Linked DNA regions of Caenorhabditis elegans. The protein of the gene in region 1 interacts with the protein of each later gene in a pairwise test. Each region holds a gene or a part of one and is shown in the gene's direction. Other genes may lie near its edges. The genes, in order: Y41E3.7, egli-1, sqst-2 and nstp-8.

Region 1 (5,103 bases):
GGTTGCGAATTCCTCCAAATTTCCGGCAAAAGTCCTGAAAAATGTAGATTAAATTCAATAATTTTTTTCAGAACAGTACGGAATTTCAGGCCTTACTTTCGGGCCTTCCGGCTTCTTCTCCTTCTTCTTCGGAGCCAAATCCTCCGCAGTCTTCGGTCCGAGCAGCTCCAAGAATCTCAAATCCACCTCCTTCTTCGTAATCGCACCATCAGCCCATGGAAGCAGAGCTCGTAGCTCGCCGAGCAACTTTCCGGCCGGGAACGAGTACCGCTCGGCGACGATTTTCTCGCGGTGTTGGCCAATCACCTTGGTAACGGCCGCTTCGATGTCGTCGATTGTGACAACAACGCCGACTCCGCATGATTTCTCGAAATCAGGCACTTGGATACCTTTAACGGTGTGCGAGAGAAGATACTCGATCGCTGCGGAGAGCTGAAATTTTTTTGAAATTTGGAAATTTAGCTGTTTTTTTTTTAATTTGAAATTTAATTTTAATTACAAACCTGTGGCTCTGTCTTAATCCCGTCATTCATAATATACTTGACAACTAGTGGAGTGTGAGCAGCGACTTGTGGCTTCAACTTTGTCGCCAACTGGTACAAAAGTGTTCCTTTTTGCTTGGAAATCTCGCCAGACTCGCTCGCAAGCTTCACAATTGAACCGATCGTTTCGGTGAGCTTCACATTTTTCAGCGTTTCAGCTACTTTTGAATCAGAGAGGCCCAAAGAGAGAAGCTCCTCCTTTGTTGCCATTTTTACCCTGGAAAATTTGTGAATTTTTTTGAATAATTTGAAGTTAGAAAGTGGAGAAGCGGAAGAAAATTCTAGAAAATAAATGTTTTTAAAGAAAGTCCAGTTTTCCGTTTTCTGAGTTTCGCGGAAAGTTGCAATCTATAGAAAAACTGAAAAAAAAGCAAATCGCTTCCTGAAACAGCCTAAAAAACCTTGAAAATACAAAATTTAGGGAGAATTTAGAAGATTTTTCGTCGAATCTCGGGAAAATCTTGAATAATTGAGTGAGAAAACAGTTTTTACAATAAGGAATTATGATAAAGTTGCAAACATCTGGAGAAATTCCAAATTTCTTGATTTTAGCCGAATAACCCTAAATTTTTCAGTTTTTTCCGAGTTTTTCGCGGGATTTGAGTTTAAATACAATATTTCTATATTTTTAATCAAATTTTTAGCCTCAAATCTGGAAAAAATAATTTTAAAAAAGCCAAAAAACCACTGGAAAACTTTTAAAATAGGCTTTTCCTTGCTAATTGCAGCTGAAAACTGCAAAAGTGTGCATTTTCGCGTGCCGGTGTTTACACACAAAACATCACAAAATGGTGTGCCACATCGGATCCACGTTCATTTTTTTCAGCGTTGTTCTTCGTGTTTTTGCATTAAAAAGTTCTGAAAATCTGGATTTTTTATTGATTTTTACTTCGAATTGTGATCTTTAATCTAATTTCTATGGATTTTATACCGAAAATGTCGAAATTACATATGAAAATTGCTAGAAACCGGCTGCAATTCTCATTTTCTGATTTTTATCTGATTTTCTTTCCAGTTTCCCCTTGATTTTTATTGCGCTCTGGCATTTTAAAAATCAATTTTCGCACATTTTCAGAGATGGCCGACGAGAACCACGTCCGTCTAAGCGAGGTTCAACTGATTCAGTCGGAATTCGGACATTCTCTCGAGGAATGCTACAAGCTTGCCGTTCAATATTATAAAAAAGGTATTTTTTGATTTAAAAATTCTTTTTAAAAAATGAGTTTTTTTCCAGAACACGTCGGGAAACAGGAGCCTGTTGGATATGAAGATCGCATTAAATTGCTCTCGTTGAGCAAACAAGTGAAAATTCCAGTTTTAAAATCAAAAATTAAATAAAAATTAAATTCCAGGTCCAACATGGAGAGATTTCCGATGAATTTGACAACGCTGGATGGCTAGATATCACTGGAAACGATGTGAAGTGGGTGATTTTCAATCAAAATTCTAACAAAAAAAAAGAAAACACTCTATTCCTTTTCCAATTTCCCCCCACACCCTCATTTCTCGAAAATGATGAACAAAATTGGAGAAAAAAAAGAAGAAGGACACACGAAGACGCAATCTCCAAAAAATTTCATTTTGTTTTTCATTTCCTATTCTATTCCAGGATAGAAATCTCGGAGAATTGGCAACTTTTCTTCTGATTTAATTAATTTTTAGCGGTTTTTCTTCAGAAATTTGATCAAAAATTGAATCGATCCGTGAATTTTGCACAGAAAAAGAGGCGGGGCGTAATTTTGCAACCCTGTGGCACCGTTTTTTAATGTCGATTTTACTAGTTTTATTCTTTTTTTATCGAATTAAAAGGTTATCCAATTAAATTCTAGTAATTAATTTAATCTGAATATCCTTATAATCTTATGAGAATTAAATTTTATAACATTTTAATTCGAAAAAAAGATAATATGACAAGTAAAATCGGCATTTTATTGAAAAAAATCAACAAAAAGTGGAAAACGAGCTCCAAAAAAGAGAGAAAACGCTGGTTTTCTGGCGAAATTCACAATTCTTCCACGCAAAACTATGTAGCTGAAAATTTCAGAAAGTTGGAAAAAAAATCCAATTTTATAATTTTTTTACAGTTTTTTTTTACAAATTCAGTTTTCTAGGCTTCTCTTCTGGCGCCCTCAAGCCATTCTCAAACTTTAAATGAATTTTCCAAAATTTTAGGCTAAAATCCTCCAATTTTAGTGCCTTCTCCTCTGAAATTAAGCAGCAAATCTGAAAAAGCTGTCAAAATAACCTATTTTATGGCAATTTTGCACCTCAAATAGAGCCGTTTTCAGCGATTTTTCGAACTTTGTTGCTCGTCAGTACAAATTCGTGTTCCTCCTCCTGCTCCACCACTCGCCGTCTTGTTTCGTCTAATCCATTTGGGACGTTTATACGTGTTTTGTGTGTCCCGGCGGCTTCTTCCTTCACTTTTGCTACTAGAAATTATTTCTCTTTGAAACCTCTGTCCGAAATATATTTTTTTTTGCTGGACGCCTTCTTTAGAACCTTTTCAAGTGTGGCCAATTATCGTAAAAGCAGGCGGTGTGCAAATTTGATTTTCGAGAGAGAAGGAATGTTCAATGTCTACCAGTTATTTTGGCTTTTTCCAAGGATTCGTTCAGTTCTTTGACGAATAACAGCCCCACGGGGTTCTGGCCTTCCTCATTGAATTTTTCGCGCTCCATTGACAATCGCTCGCCGGACTCCACACGGACAAATACATTTACATAGTTTTTCAACTAAAATCGAGCCGCGACGCGACACGCAACGCGCCGTAAATCTACCCCCGAGCCAAAATGACCTAGTTCGGCAAACTCTTCCATTTCAAGTTATGAGGGAAGCCAGAAAACCGTGGCAGCCCGAAAGGTCTTCTACTTTTGATGCTCTCGGAGCTCTGAGCCAAAAAGCCCCAAATATGGATACAAATCCATCATGAGCTCACCTCATAAGAGCCGGCTCTCCTAATACTCATCAGTCATTTTGTATTCTTTCCTAAAGAGATAGACATACATGTTTTCAAAAAAGAAAAGAAGTTTTTGTCGAGAATTCGTCACAAATTGATTTTCAGCCTCTTTTGTCGACGAAAATTTCAGCTACACCCACCAATTTGGCTCTCCTCCTCCTCCTGCTCAAGAGGAGCAACACTGAAATCTCTGGAGAATTGGGTGGCTTCTTCCTCTCCTTTCATTCCTTTTTGCCCTATTTCTCTCGTTTTTCCGTCTGTTAAAAAGTTGACGGCACATCCTTCTGTTTTGTTACTTTGTTGTTTTCGAGGCGGTTTCACAATTGTCTACGGTATTTCCTGATTACGGAACTTTTTTCTGCGTGCGGATTCTGAGTTTTTCACGGGGTTCTGGCCCAGATATGGCAGAGCCAAAATGGCCTAGCTCGGCAAACTCTTTCATTTAAATTTATGAGAGGAAGCCAGAAACCACGCGACGCCAGACTGTCCCATCACGATTTGATCTACAAAAAATGCGGAAAATTTTTTCCTCTAAAAATTGTGACGTCAGAACGATCTCAACCATGTGAAATCAGAAGAGATGTCTGCGTCTCAACTCCCGCATTTTTTGAAGATCAAATCGGAATAAGACTTTTCGGACTCCATGCGGTGCACCCGTAACGTGACTGAGATCGTGGCAAGACCCACTTATCATGTCAAATTTTCGGGAAAATGTCCTACCGTACTTACTTGAAGGAAGAACCTCTCATCAACATTCTACAACCAAAATGTAGTCCTCATTGCAAGAAGAAATACGTCATATTTCTCTGTCTATCTACATTCCAGTACTTGTGTCTGATAATCAGGAAGTGCTGATATCCATTCCGTGTTTTTCTCATGACACTTGCTTTTTTTTGAAGAGAAGTCACCTTCGCCCTCCAGCAAAATTTAAGGTTTTCCCACGAGGATATCCAGCGTTTCCTCGTGTTTCTTTAGTAGTAGTTCACTTTTTTTCTGGTTTTGTTTTCGTTGGATTGCTTTCCTTTGTGGAAAATCAAATTTTCTACCGAAATTTGTGTGGGGATTCTCTCGCTACTCTGGTCTGTTCTTCTGACTCACGTTTTCCGTTTCTTTCCATCCAAGAGACGTACAAAAGTAGTAAGAGTAAACACACAGACGAGGGGAAGAAGCTTCTTCCTCCCTTTTTTTCTATTCGCCAAAATTGAATTTGTGTGTAGCTCCGCCGTCCCGGGCGGACTTCGCCTTCTTCCTCAACCCAAAAATCTAACTTAACAAGAAGGGAAAAAGAAGTGACAAGGACGCGAGGAATGCTAATAAGATGATGGTGTTGGAAGGGATGTGGGGACGACGACTAGTTGGACAGACGACATCGGCTTCTTCTTCTTCTTCCGTTTTTTTTTGTCAGAAGATAACGTCTTCTTTGACAAGACGGCAGGGATGACAAGTTTTCAACCTTTTGTTCTTGTGCTGTTTGGAATCGCAACTAGGGCTGTGCGGCTGATGACTCGGCTGATGGAGCAAATCAACGTTTTTCAACGTAATAGCAATGATCAATTAGGGAATACTTGTATTTGCCATATCGGCTGAGTCTTGAGCTTCTAA
Region 2 (3,419 bases), on another chromosome or scaffold:
TATAAGAACGCTACGCGAAATTATGACTACGGGGAAAATTAAAAAATTGAGGAGAAATTATCAACATCCGCAAGCTCCTGCGCTGCTGTTTTGAGGGAAACTTCTTTCGGATAGGCACACGGATTGTGACCTCATAATACCAGTTTTAAGGCCTTCCCAGCCATCCACGGGCCGCAGTTCTCCGTCGTCGACTCGATTTTGAATCTAAAAATTTGAAAATTACATCATAAAATTGAAACATTTTCAAAAAAACCTCTTGTGCAATCATATGAAAAGCTTCATTAACATTGTCTCCTGTTCTCGACGACGTCTCGATAAACTTCATTTTATGGTACTTGGCAAAGTACTCGCCTTCCTCATAGTTTACCTGAAAGCTTTTAACCAATTTTTTAAACACAACTTTTGTTCAAAAATTACCTGTCGCTGTGAATCCATATCACTTTTTGTTCCGACTAATTGGAAGACACACTTCGATGGGCTTGGACCACCCAAATTTAATGCTGCTTCTTTAACCCAATTTTCAACATGCTCAAAACTTTCTCGATTCGTTGTGTCGTAGATTGCAAGGACTCCAACAGAATTCCGATAGTAGGATTTTGTAATTGATCTAAAAATATTTTTTTTAATCAGCTAATATTCTTTTTAAAAAAATCCACATACCTGAATTTTTCCTGTCCTGCTGTATCCCATAGTTGCAATTTAACACGATATCCAGGCCTCAACTCAATCATCCTTGCATAAAAGTCTACTCCGACAGTTGGGTCGCTGATTTCGGCCATTTTTCCTTCTGTGAAGTACCGTAAAAGACTAGATTTGCCAACTGTTGAATCCCCAATAACGATAAGACGATATTGGTAGTGAAAGAGCGGTCCATAGTCGTCACCAATGAAGTTTGTTTCCATTTTGTCTAAAAAATGATATATTGTTGAGCGTTTCCAATAGAGAATGATGCAATTATTATAAGAAAATAAATTTAAAGTTATCCGAGCAACAATTATCAATAAATATTACTTTTTTAAATGAAAACCTTTTTAATTTCAGCAGAAATCTTAGAAATCAGATGATCAATAAATAAAAACGGCTGACTTTTTAAAGGCGCATAGAATTTTCTTGGTGGCGGGTCCCGCACCGAAGAGCCGTTTTCTAAATAATATACACTAATGATTATTTTTATTAAATTTTTTCACGGTTTTCGAGAGTATTCTTTATATAAATTCAATTTTAAAGCATTCTCGTCGAGTTTGAATCCGAAATTATCGATTTTCGTTTTTCTCTGCTTTCTCTACCGCTGTTTTCTCTCCTCCGCTGTCTTCGCAAGATTATAGAGCTCTTTTGAATCAATTTGTTTCATGTTTCCGCTTTTGACGTTATTTTAAACATATACTGATATAAATAAATTAAGAATAGAGTAGAAAATCTAGTTCAAGTAAAGATGCAACATTTCTTTCTGCAAAATTTCTCGAAAACACCTGTTTTCCAAAACTTTTCAATTACACAATTAGAATTTCGGAAAAGTTAACATATATAAGAACATATTATATATATATATATATATATATATATATAGATTAACTCTCACAGTTAAAGAAATCTGAATAGTAATATTGCGAAATAGTTTTGCATAAGTTTGTTTGATTAAATTAAATGTGAAGCACTAACGCTATTGAATCCAGGAAAAACTCGAATTATTTGTTTGATTTTTATTAAACACACTTTGTGAACAATTTTCGGTTAAGAGGCTTTGTTGTAGTAAAAATCCTAAATCTACGATTATCTTCTTAAAATTTGACATACTTCTTACGTATGTTACAGGATAAATCGAGTTTTGATGTATTTCGTAAATAGTTTTTAATCATGTTATCTTTTTATTTCCCATCTCTATGTTTTAATGTTGTCTTTACACTAATTCACCCGTAATGTCCGTGCACAAAAGAATTTAACATTCAGATATTATGGAAACAAAATCATCCCAAACTTCACATCCGTGGCTTGTTCTACTCATTTTCGCCACTTTTGCGGTCTCAATTTTTGCTGTATACAGCAATTTTCCTGAAGTCTCGGCAGATGAGAAGGTTCATTTGAAATATCCCAGGAATCTGGAAGACGCTAAGCAGCTGGGCAGAGTTCTCTCGAAGTACAAGGAGAACAACTATTCAGTAGTTCTGTGCGGTGTAATTGTCGTCTACGTATTTCTACAGTCCTTCGCTATCCCTGGATCTATTTTTCTAACAATTCTATCAGGATACCTGTTTCCATTCTATGTGGCAATTGTGTTGGTGTGCTCCTGCTCTGCAACTGGAGCCGCCATCTGCTACACCATTTCTAAACTTTTTGGACGATCATTTGTTTTGCAAAAGTTTCCCGAAAGAATCGCAAAATGGCAGGATGATCTGAGCAAGCATCGTGATGACTTTCTGAACTATATGATTTTCCTTCGAGTAACTCCAATTGTTCCAAATTGGCTAATCAACATTGCCAGTCCTGTTCTAGATGTTCCACTGGCTCCATTCTTCTGGGGAACATTTCTAGGCGTTGCTCCACCAAGTTTCCTGTATATTCAAGCTGGCTCAACACTGGAACAATTGAGCCATACCAGTGTAGCATGGAGTTGGAGTTCTATCGTTTTACTTACGGGTTCGGCGATTTTGTCGCTGGCTCCTATTTTGCTCAAGAAGAAGCTCAAATCGGATTAATTTTCTCTCTTATTTCCTCTTTCGATCTCATTTTTTTTCCATTGCTTTCTGTGCAAAACTTGTGATATTTAGAGAATATAGCCGATAACTCATTTCTATACTATTTTTATTTATTTTTCGCCTCCTTTTTTGTCATAATAATCATATTTTCTTCACTAATAAACAATTTTTAGGTGATGAAACAATGATGCGGATCGCCACAAGACGCCGATTCATATCGAACAATTTGCACAAGTTTTCCCGGATATCCGCCTCCACTTCTGCAACTTTAGCCGCATATTCAAATGGAAATCAACATCAGAACAGGCAATTCGGCACAAATGCACTTTTCAGCAAAAAAGGAGGATTGTGAGTCTCTCTCCTTTTCTCTCTATTCCTCTCTCTCTCTCTGTCCGCTCTTTGATGAGTAATAAGACACCAAAAACCACGAAGATAGCGCAAAGGGGGAATGTGTTTTGTAATACTGCTGTCTCTTCTCTTTTTTTTGCATCTTTGGTTGATGACGTTTATCAATATGAAAACACCACATTTTGAAGCGAACAAAAAAACGACATTTTGTCTTTTACCACTCATTTTGAACTTTTGAAAAATTGTTTAAGATTTTTTAACGAAAAATTTTCGGATATTTCACATTTTTGGCAATATTGTTTCCTAAATATTACCTATCCTGAAGATGAGGTTATATAATCTTCCAAGATCTTCCAAGAATATTTCTATTCGTTGATG
Region 3 (3,913 bases), 7.7 Mb from region 1:
TGTACCTGTATTTCCAAAACTGAAAGAAAATCTTATTTCCACAGCCTATTCGCTCAACTTTCCATGTTCTGTATCTACTTTATCTGTGTCACCTCTTGTTTTCTGCTTCGACCAAGTCCGTTCGAACGTCAACAACATATTGCAAATGATTTGATTTGTTTCTATGATTTCAAAACAAGAAGATTCAACGAATCAGCTGTCTCGACAATAGTAGGCTAGTTTTTTTTTTAATTGGCACAAATTTTATTCAGATTTATCATCTTCTCCATTTAATTTGCGTTACGGGGGCAACACTCTATTTAGTGCAAGCTCTTCTTCATATTAAAAATGTTGGATATCATTTATATGTACTCGGACTTTCTGGATTTCCAGCCAAAGCTATTTTCCTATTTTCCTGTATTCTAATGGTCATCACATTTTTTCTGAGAATATTTTGTTTGGATGAAGCCGAGGATATTGTTTGGATAGTGATTGTTTTATTAACTTCATTGAAATTTCTGTTCTTTTGTAGGTAAGTACGCTTTATGATTAGATCCACAATAGGAAATAAACTACTTTTCCAGAGGATTTAAGTCAGTTGGACCATTCGTCTTGATGCTCTATAAAATTATAATTCGTGATTTAATGAGATTCTTCTTGATCTATTTGGTCATTGTAGTTGGCTTCTCTCAAGCATTTTATGTCATATTCCTCGGTTATAAGAGAAGTGATTCTGGAAATCGTGAACCAAGCATTATGAGTAACGTTGCGGAAAGCTACGTACGGATGTTTATCATGTCACTCACAGAGTTTACTGTATTTTTTGAGCAATTGGAAGAATGTGAGCATACCGTTATTGGAAAGGTAGGCTTACACTTTTTTTAAAACAATTCTAGACTAGAAAGATCATCGAAAAATATAGAATTTTTGATTTTCAGATAACATTCGTAGTCTATATGCTTCTCGTAACACTTTTGCTCATTAACATGCTTATTGCTATGATGACTAATACTTATACAGAAGTCTCTGGAAATTCATTAGAGTGGCTTCGACAATGGTCTGCAATTATTCTAATGATGGAACAAAGTTTTGATCCAGCAACCAGGTTACGGTATCAAAGAAGATATGGAATACGTTTTGATGGAGGTGAAAAACTAGTTTTATTGTTAAAAGATAAAATGACAGTGAGTTCCTCTTACACATTTGCCAATAGTTTGATGATAAATTTAAGGAGGAAGAATTCGAGTGCCAGCGGAAGAAAATGCACGAAGAGCGTCGTAAATTCCGTGAGGAACTTCGCACAAACCAGAGAAGACGGCCAGTATTTATATGCAAGCAAGGAGCAAATTATTTCAAATCGAAGCATCGACATACTAATAATAAGTTGATTATTCCTACCGGCTAATTTTTTTTACTGTTTCATTCTCTTCCTAAAATAATTTGTCTAATAAATGTTGGATCTTGTTAGTGAAAAATGTGGAAAGTTGATGTTTCTTCTTTGATTCCTCAATCTTGCTTTTTTAGAAACCTTTAAATTTGGCAGTGGAAAACTTTAAATGAAATGGATGTCTCAAATAGTTTCCGGATTTAATATGTTGCATTCAAATATTTTTATTTAAGACTGTTTAATTTAGAACATTTTAAAAGTGTTTTTTACTATTTTTTGGTACTGTTGCAGTAACCATAATCAAGTATAACGATATGAAAACTTTCAAAACGAACTGCTCAGCCAGTCCACAAGCGGCATACTGTTAGTTTATTTCGGCAAATTTTGTCAGTTCAATTTGAAAATTTATTTATTAAAAAAGGATTAAGAACTCACCCAAGAGAATGCCCATCGTTTTTAGTGTTATTTCTAGTGTTATACCAAGTCAATTCAGATATTTCAAAAAATGCAACATTCTCTGATGTGCCTTCTTCTTTTCTTTGCTTTGCTCTCCAAAAATGACTAACGAGTGGAATGTTATCTTATCAAAAACTGCATCATTCAGCATTTGACAAGAGTTTCACTGGCGCTGAAATCAACATTTTCACTTCTCGACTCTTCCTAACTTTTTTTCTAAAATTGCTCATTACTTCTATAGATTAACTTTTTAGTTTTGATTTAGTTTGGGTCAACAAAAATGAGTAGTATTCGATACAGGAGACCACCAATCATAGAACGAAGATATGAAAGAACTCCATCATATTCGGTAACTTCAAGAATATTCGATTTCAGTAATAAAACTGTTTTCAGACGATTCCAAGGGATATTCATGTCTCATTCTACCATAATAACTATCACAGATCAAAGATTTTGTATTTGAATAAGTTCAACGCAATGGAAAAATTAATTGAAGCTGCACACGAATTGTATCCATCAAATGGTGTTTATCGTCTATTTTCGGGTGAGTTTTTTGAAATGAAAAAATATTTGTAATAATTTTTTAATAGATAGTACAATTGGTGCTCAAAACGAGTTGAATGATTCAGTGCAAGTTATGGAATGTGTTCAAAATCCTGATCATATTCTTCCACATCTACATATAAGACTGGAAGGTAAGATTTTACGGAAAACTTTTTAAAAAACAGTTCCATAGTCCTATTATAACAACCTTGTTAGTTCTTTGTTAGATAATCTTACAATTTGAAAATTCAATTATTCAAATTAAGTTTTTTTAAAAAAAGGAACAATGATCTTTCAAAGTATTTTTTATTTTCAAATTTTGAGAAATTTCAAGTTGTTTTGCAAAGGTGTGTTCTTATGTAACTCAAAACTAATAGTAACAAAATTTTTAAAAATTTAATTTTTCAGATTACCGTCCCAGAAGCATAAGCCGTAATTATCACGAAGTTAACGTTCCAATAATTCGAACTCCATCTCAACATTCAATCCATCAATCTGTTCGATTCAACGATAACAAACGTCATCACCATCATCATCATCATGATTCAATAAGAAACTTCGTCCATCATGACACTCCATGCCGAAACTGTTTCCGTATAATTGTTGGAAGCCGTTATCACTGTCTTCAATGTCCAGACTATGATATTTGTGGAGACTGTGAAAAAGATTTGGTTCACTACGAGCATGCTCTTCTACGAATTGTGACTCCAAGGGTTACAAGTATTCCTGATTATGTCACAGTTAACGCCCCAAGTTACATTTTCCCAGAACATCGTTATGATATCAAAAGAGAACATTATCATTGGTTTTAAATTGTATTTTATAGTTTTGTTGTTTTTCCTATTTATGTTGTGAACTTAGTTTTTCTGTCGGATTTCTGTCCTATCTTGTTATACTTAAAAAGACCAAAAAAGTTATGTAATTGCAGAAGTGCAAAAAACCAAGACGCATCCTCCATTCAATTTTAATTTCCTGAAATCTATCTCGCAAAAAAAAAAACAAAAAAAAAAATTCCCTCTTATTTTGAATTTTAAAATTAAATTTTTCTTGTGCTTTTCAGAAATCTGTTCCAATTGAATTTTCATTCCTATTGACTTGTAGGACTAGAATTAATAACACCGCGGACCACCTTTATTGAGAATTTCAAAAACATTTTGTAGGCCATGTTTCCAATTTTTAATTGTCTTAAAATTAACACAATGTTTCAAAATTTCTATTTTAATTGGCTCCATAGAACACTTTTCCATGTAATTAGAAAATGCCTACCTGCCTGACACCTAGAAAGTGACCAACGCTTACTGTGCATTGAAAGCATGCAAGTAGGCATTTTTGCATGCGTGGGAGGTTTCTACAACTCAGCCAAAGCAGTCTATTGTACCTACCCATTCCTTATTTATTCTTCCGCAATCACCAATGACGCGTTCATGATTTTTCACTTTTTCAAAAACAAAATTTGATTGTCACTGCCCTTATTAACTTTTGCCCACGCTTATTAAATTAGTTTCACTCCTGCAATTCAAATCCTACTAAAACCTCTCTGAAAATGTT
Region 4 (5,370 bases), on another chromosome or scaffold:
CGAAATTTAAATACCGAATACCATACCTTAACACGAAGATCCAGACTTGTAAAATCTGGAAGTCTTGCGTACCAGTTCGCGGTCGCCAAGAACATTTGCTCGAAAAAGACAAGCGATTCAGCTTTCCCAATATTCCGCACAATTTTTACTTTATGATTTGAGCTTCTTAACCGCAAGTCTTCCATTTCCAATGTGAGCTTTTCCAGGCTATTGCTGTATTTGTAGGGCATTGGTGAGTTGGCTAGGTCCTTAAAATTGCACAATAGCGAGCAACCGACAAATTACAGGACGGCAAAATTTGATGCGAAAAAAACATCAATTGGCCCGTGAAGTGTCGGCTTGTGCCAAAAAATAACCTTTACCTCCTGGAAAATTTCTGCAGCTTTGTGAACCAAATCCGTCACATCTATCACTGTCTTGAAAGGAGAAGCCTTTTCGGGCTCGAAACTTATTATGAATTCGGGCCGCCCGAGAAAGTTTGCCAAACTTTGTGGAGCATAAACTTTCGTGCGTTTAAGGTATGCATTGGAGCTTGAAATAAGGTCACGGTCCTTTTGAAATTCTGAACATTTAGATATTAAAATTTTTTAAAAATTCTTTTTAACCCACTACTTGCGTCCATTCCGACTTTGTAGCACTTTTTCAGTCGGCAAATTTTACAGCGATATCTAGAAAATTTGAAGTTTTTTTTTTCAATTTCCAGCAAACACATACGCTCCAGCATCAAAAATCCGGCAATCCCCATATTCACAGGCTTTATCTTGAAACCGAGGACTTCGAGAAGCTCTTCTGAAAAATGCGGCGCAAGCTCGGCAACTGAGCACACCGAAATGGTTTCCGTGAGCTGGTAGATCACAAATTTTACACGGTCCTGAGATGAGAAGGGCTGCTGGCATTTTGTCGTCTGAATTGCTAAAGATTTGTTCAATTTTTTTTTGAGAAAAATATTGGCGGGAAAATCAAATTTTCTCAAAAAAAATATGGCGGGAAAATCAAATTTTCTTGAAAAATACTTGGCGGGAAATTCAAAATTTCTAAAAAAGAATATGGGCGGGAAATTCAAAATTCCTCAGTAAACAATTAAGCTGGAAATTCAAATTTTTGTTAAAAAATAATTGGCGGTAAATCAAAATTTTCTCAAAAAACTATTTTTGGGAGAAATTAAATTCAAAATATTTTTGCGGGAAATTTAAATTTTCTACAAAAATATATAATGGTAATCAATAAAAAAAATTAAATAAAAAGTCCAATACATATCAGTTGACAGAAAACTAAATACATACTAGACATATAAAATGGAAACCAATGATCGGAGACGCAGACTGCTAAAGCAAGGCCTGGTGGGGTTTGAAGCAACATCAGCGTCAATAGAAAAAGTTGCCAAGAGTGACGAAACTACGAAAATGCTTACATAATGTGAATGAATAATTTAAGACAAGGAACAAATCTCCCCATTTTTTAAAAATTCAGTCTAGGCCAGGCTTGTTTGATGTTTGAAAAATCACACCAAAAAATGCGAATTTTTTTCCGATTAAAAAAATTTTTGACGGGATCTTGAAAATCTGGAGTTTTTATAATAAAAAAATGAGTAGTAATGACCGAATATAAATGTAAAAAAATGTATTAAAAGTTATTGAAATTTTGGAGATTTTTTTTGTTGGAAAAATCAGTGTATTTTTTTAGAAATTTTGAACCGCCTTAAAAAATTCTTCAAAAATTTCTAAGAAGTTTCATTACAAAATTCGTTCATTTGAGCACATTTTGGGCCTATACGCTCAAAATCGTCAGAACCGTTAGTCCTCCTTCAAATTAAAAAAAGGAAAAAAATTGAAGAACATTTTTGAAAATTTGGAAAATTGAGGTATTATACTCAAGATTTTTTTAGAAAAATTTTGAAATTTTAAATAATTAGAGTTAAACCGGATAAAAACATGTCTAACAAAAAACGAAGCGACAAATAAAAAAAAGGAAAATTTCACTAGACTTTTGAGAGGAAAATCTGATTTTTTCTGCGATACCAGGCGCAGCCTACATATTATTATCGCACGATCTTGAATCCTGAAAAGCCAATATATTTCCTATTGATTCGATTTGTTGCTTATTCTTTAAATACATTTGCTGTATTTGTAACTCTCTGAAAATTTAATTTTCAGTGCAAAATGAGTGATGTGAAACATCAAATTTTGGATCTAGAGATTGATAAGAAAGTCAAATCGAGTTCTAGTTCGGTACGCCAATTTTTTTAAAATTTCATTTTTTAATTCATGATAGCTTGGAAATTAGTTAATTTTAGATCATTCAAGGGTTATGCTCAATTCAACTTTTATCTATGATCGCAGTTACCGCACACCACACAGCCATGCCATTTTTTGTACAAATGGCTAATACGGTAAGGATCTTAATTTTCAATTGCCAAGAAAAAATCACTATTCAGAGCCATTTCCTTCCGACAACTTCGGTTTTTATGATGGAAGTTTTGAAGTTATTATTTTGCCTGATAATTGTTTTATTTAAAACAAAAAGTTTTGAGAAGTAAGATTCTGGGGAAAAAAGTAATGTTCCAACACACTTACAGAACTGGCAAAAAGCTATACGAACACATTTGGAAAAATCGAGTGGAAACCTTGAAAGTGTCGGTTCCAGCAGTGGTATATGCTATTCAGAACAATTTATACTACATTGCACTCGCGAATATTGATGCGACAACTTATTCGGTAATTTTTGCCCAAAATGAAATTAAGAAAATATGGGATCAATATACCAAATTCAAACTGTAAAAAATTTTTTAGAAATTTTTAAATTTAGTATGATTTTTTTTTGAATTCTTCATACAAATCACCTAAATTTTGGCATTTTTACAAAATGTTTAATTTTTCTTGGCAATTTTTATTGGGTTTTCATAGTTTTCATTAGTTTATTTAATTTTGGCACTGTTTGTCTTTTTTTTTAAATTATGTTTTTGAAAAGAAAATTTGGTAATCTCTAAGAAAAACGCTGAAACATTGAAATTGATCCAATTTCTTTGTAGAAAAATGTCCGAAAATGTGACAAATAATAATTCAAATTATGATATACAAACAAAACCGAGAAAATAAAATTTTAATCCTAATTATGCCAAAATGCCAAAATCTTAGTTGACTTACGCGAAAACTCAAAAATGATTCAGCACTTATAAGTTTATATTCTAAGTTGATATTTAAAAAGACATATTAACCGGACATTTTAGTGATTTTATTTTTTCTGAAATTCCTGGAAATTAGATTACATGAGAAAATTCACGAAAAAGTTACATACGTGGTATTTTTTAAATTTTCAGGTAACTGTCCAATTACGCATATTGACCACCGCCCTTTTATCCGTCATTATATTAAACCAAAAGCTCTCCAATTATCAATGGCTGGCTCAGGGTATGGCTCTCATCGGTGTGGTTCTTGTGCAGGTATGCTCCTCCTGGAGTTATCGACTCTAAATTAATGCCTCCAATTTCAGATTGACAATTCTAACCCCCATGGGAAAGTATTCGGAAATTTCTGGCTAGGGATAACGGCTGTGTTTGGTATGTGCTGGACAAGTGGCTTTGCTGGTTGGTTACTGTACTTTGGACCTAAAATGAAGTAACTTTAAGGTGTCTACTTTGAAAAAATGCTGAAAGAATCGTCAGCTGACGTGTGGGTTCAGAATATCCGGCTTTCAACTTTAACACTGCTTTTTGCTGGGATCACAATGCTCTCTACAGACGGAGAAGCCGTTCTTACAGGTAAGAAGGCTTTAAGGAGCTCCTGCTAAAGGTGGAGTAGCGCCAGCGGGAAAATTTTTTGTAAACCACTCCTATTGTGCCAAAATGATCGAATAAAAAAATTTTTTGAACATTTTTTATTTACAGTGAAAAAGTGTCAATTACTAAGTTTTTGCCACTCATAATTTTGTAAGTCGACCAAAAAAATTGTTTTTTCTACATTTTTTATACTTTAATTTTTATTCAATTATTTGTATTAAAACATTGAAGGGATCGGAACATGCGACATTGTTCTGGATTTCCTGAAAAGCCGATAATTTTTAAAATTATGGCAATTTGTCAAACCTTTGACCAAAAATTATGAAAAATCTGAAATTTTTCAGAGTGTTTTATTATAATATTTAGTTGTTTTGGAATATTATAAGTGTATTTACACAAAATCCCTACTGGCGCTACTCCACCTTCAATAAATTTTTGAAATTTCAGGAAAAATGTTCTTTGGCTGGAATTGGATAGTGTGGTTTGTTACAATTGGTAATTCAATCGTAGGTCTTTGCATTTCGTTGGTAATGAAGTACGCCGATAATGTGATGAAGACGTATTGCCAATCGCTTGCAATAGGCCTCACAGCAATTGTGTCCATATTCCTTGGTGACCGAACTCTTAGTATAGATCTCATTTACGGAGTTCTACTTGTCACATCTTCTATTGTGGTATACTCACGGTTCCCGGCTACTACATCTACAAAATATGAGCCACTGGAACAGGACAGCGACGCAGAAAAAAATTAAGAAAATTTATCGTTACTATATATTTGTTTGTACTATTGGTTTTCCACGGAATAAATACAATTTAATCAAACCAACTGTGTTACCGGGCGATAGCGTTCTTGAAGATTGTTCCGCTTGATTCAATATTCGTGTCTATCCTACCAAGAAGCCCGGCGGACATTCAACATCAAATGCGACGCTATTTGATGGATCTAGATGGAATAGTGGCGTTTTGATGAACTTTAGAGATAATGAAAAAACCGTTCCCATTTTCAAGATGTGCATTTTTATCGCAAAATTCACAACTTAAAGGTGGAGCAGCACCAGTGTAAATTTTGTCTGAAAACACTTATAATGAACAAAAAAACCGAATATCATAATAAAACACTCCAAAACTTTTCTGATTTTTCAAAATTTTCTGTCAAAGTTTTGGCACATTGGCAAAATTTGAAAAATATTAGCGTTTGAGAAAATCCAAACGAATGTCGCATGTACTGACCCCTACAATGTTTTAATACAAATTATTCAAAAAAAAAAAAAAATGTAGGAGAAATTTTTTTTGACCGACTTCCAAAATTACGAGTGGCAAAAACTGAGTAAGTGTTACTTTTTGACTGTTAAAAAATTCCAAAAAAAAATAAAAAATATTAAAAAAAATTTTGAAAAAAGTTCCATTATGATGTTCAGGCATTTTGGTCCACCAAATGTGGATTTTTGCAGACTTTCAATGTTTTTTTGACTCCCAGATCCGCAGTGCATAGCGCTTGAAGAACGGATCGTTCTTTAATTTTTTTTAATTTTAGGGAATCAAAAAATTTGTTTAAGATTATTCGAAAGAAATATTCAAAAAATTTGAAATTCTGT

What was found.
Region 2: the proteins of Y41E3.7 (region 1) and egli-1 interact in a two-hybrid assay, tested with the Caenorhabditis elegans proteins (one large-scale study listed by BioGRID).
Region 3: the proteins of Y41E3.7 (region 1) and sqst-2 interact in a two-hybrid assay, tested with the Caenorhabditis elegans proteins (one large-scale study listed by BioGRID).
Region 4: the proteins of Y41E3.7 (region 1) and nstp-8 interact in a two-hybrid assay, tested with the Caenorhabditis elegans proteins (one large-scale study listed by BioGRID).

Annotation. Positions count from the first base shown.
Region 1 is NC_003282.8:15,012,425-15,017,527, forward strand, and holds the start of Y41E3.7 (Golgi resident protein GCP60), read left to right. Parts: upstream 1-1,610; 5' UTR 1,611-1,619; coding exon 1,620-1,728; intron 1,729-1,776; coding exon 1,777-1,844; intron 1,845-1,894; coding exon 1,895-1,965; intron 1,966-2,830; coding exon of another isoform or gene 2,831-2,912; exon of another isoform or gene 2,913-3,072; intron 3,073-5,103. Other genes in the region: qars-1 (putative glutamine--tRNA ligase), read right to left, coding at 97-432, 504-752.
Region 2 is NC_003280.10:9,322,008-9,325,426, forward strand, and holds egli-1 (Transmembrane protein 41 homolog), read left to right. Parts: upstream 1-1,952; coding exon 1,953-2,693; downstream 2,694-3,419. Other genes in the region: Ras-related protein rab-39, read right to left, coding at 61-204, 254-367, 418-607, 661-902; eat-3 (Dynamin-like GTPase OPA1, mitochondrial), read left to right, coding at 2,881-3,041.
Region 3 is NC_003282.8:7,327,150-7,331,062, reverse strand, and holds sqst-2 (ZZ-type domain-containing protein), read left to right. Parts: upstream 1-2,087; 5' UTR 2,088-2,102; coding exon 2,103-2,171; intron 2,172-2,215; coding exon 2,216-2,366; intron 2,367-2,412; coding exon 2,413-2,517; intron 2,518-2,773; coding exon 2,774-3,177; 3' UTR 3,178-3,292; downstream 3,293-3,913. Other genes in the region: ocr-4 (Ion transport domain-containing protein), read left to right, coding at 45-210, 252-511, 564-843, 918-1,163, 1,211-1,384.
Region 4 is NC_003283.11:2,213,565-2,218,934, forward strand, and holds nstp-8 (Nucleotide Sugar TransPorter family), read left to right. Parts: upstream 1-2,087; 5' UTR 2,088-2,159; coding exon 2,160-2,228; intron 2,229-2,293; coding exon 2,294-2,389; intron 2,390-2,434; coding exon 2,435-2,532; intron 2,533-2,575; coding exon 2,576-2,714; intron 2,715-3,316; coding exon 3,317-3,439; intron 3,440-3,489; coding exon 3,490-3,583; intron 3,584-3,625; coding exon 3,626-3,757; intron 3,758-4,222; coding exon 4,223-4,527; 3' UTR 4,528-4,597; downstream 4,598-5,370. Other genes in the region: nhr-184 (Nuclear Hormone Receptor family), read right to left, coding at 27-248, 363-562, 610-668, 715-896.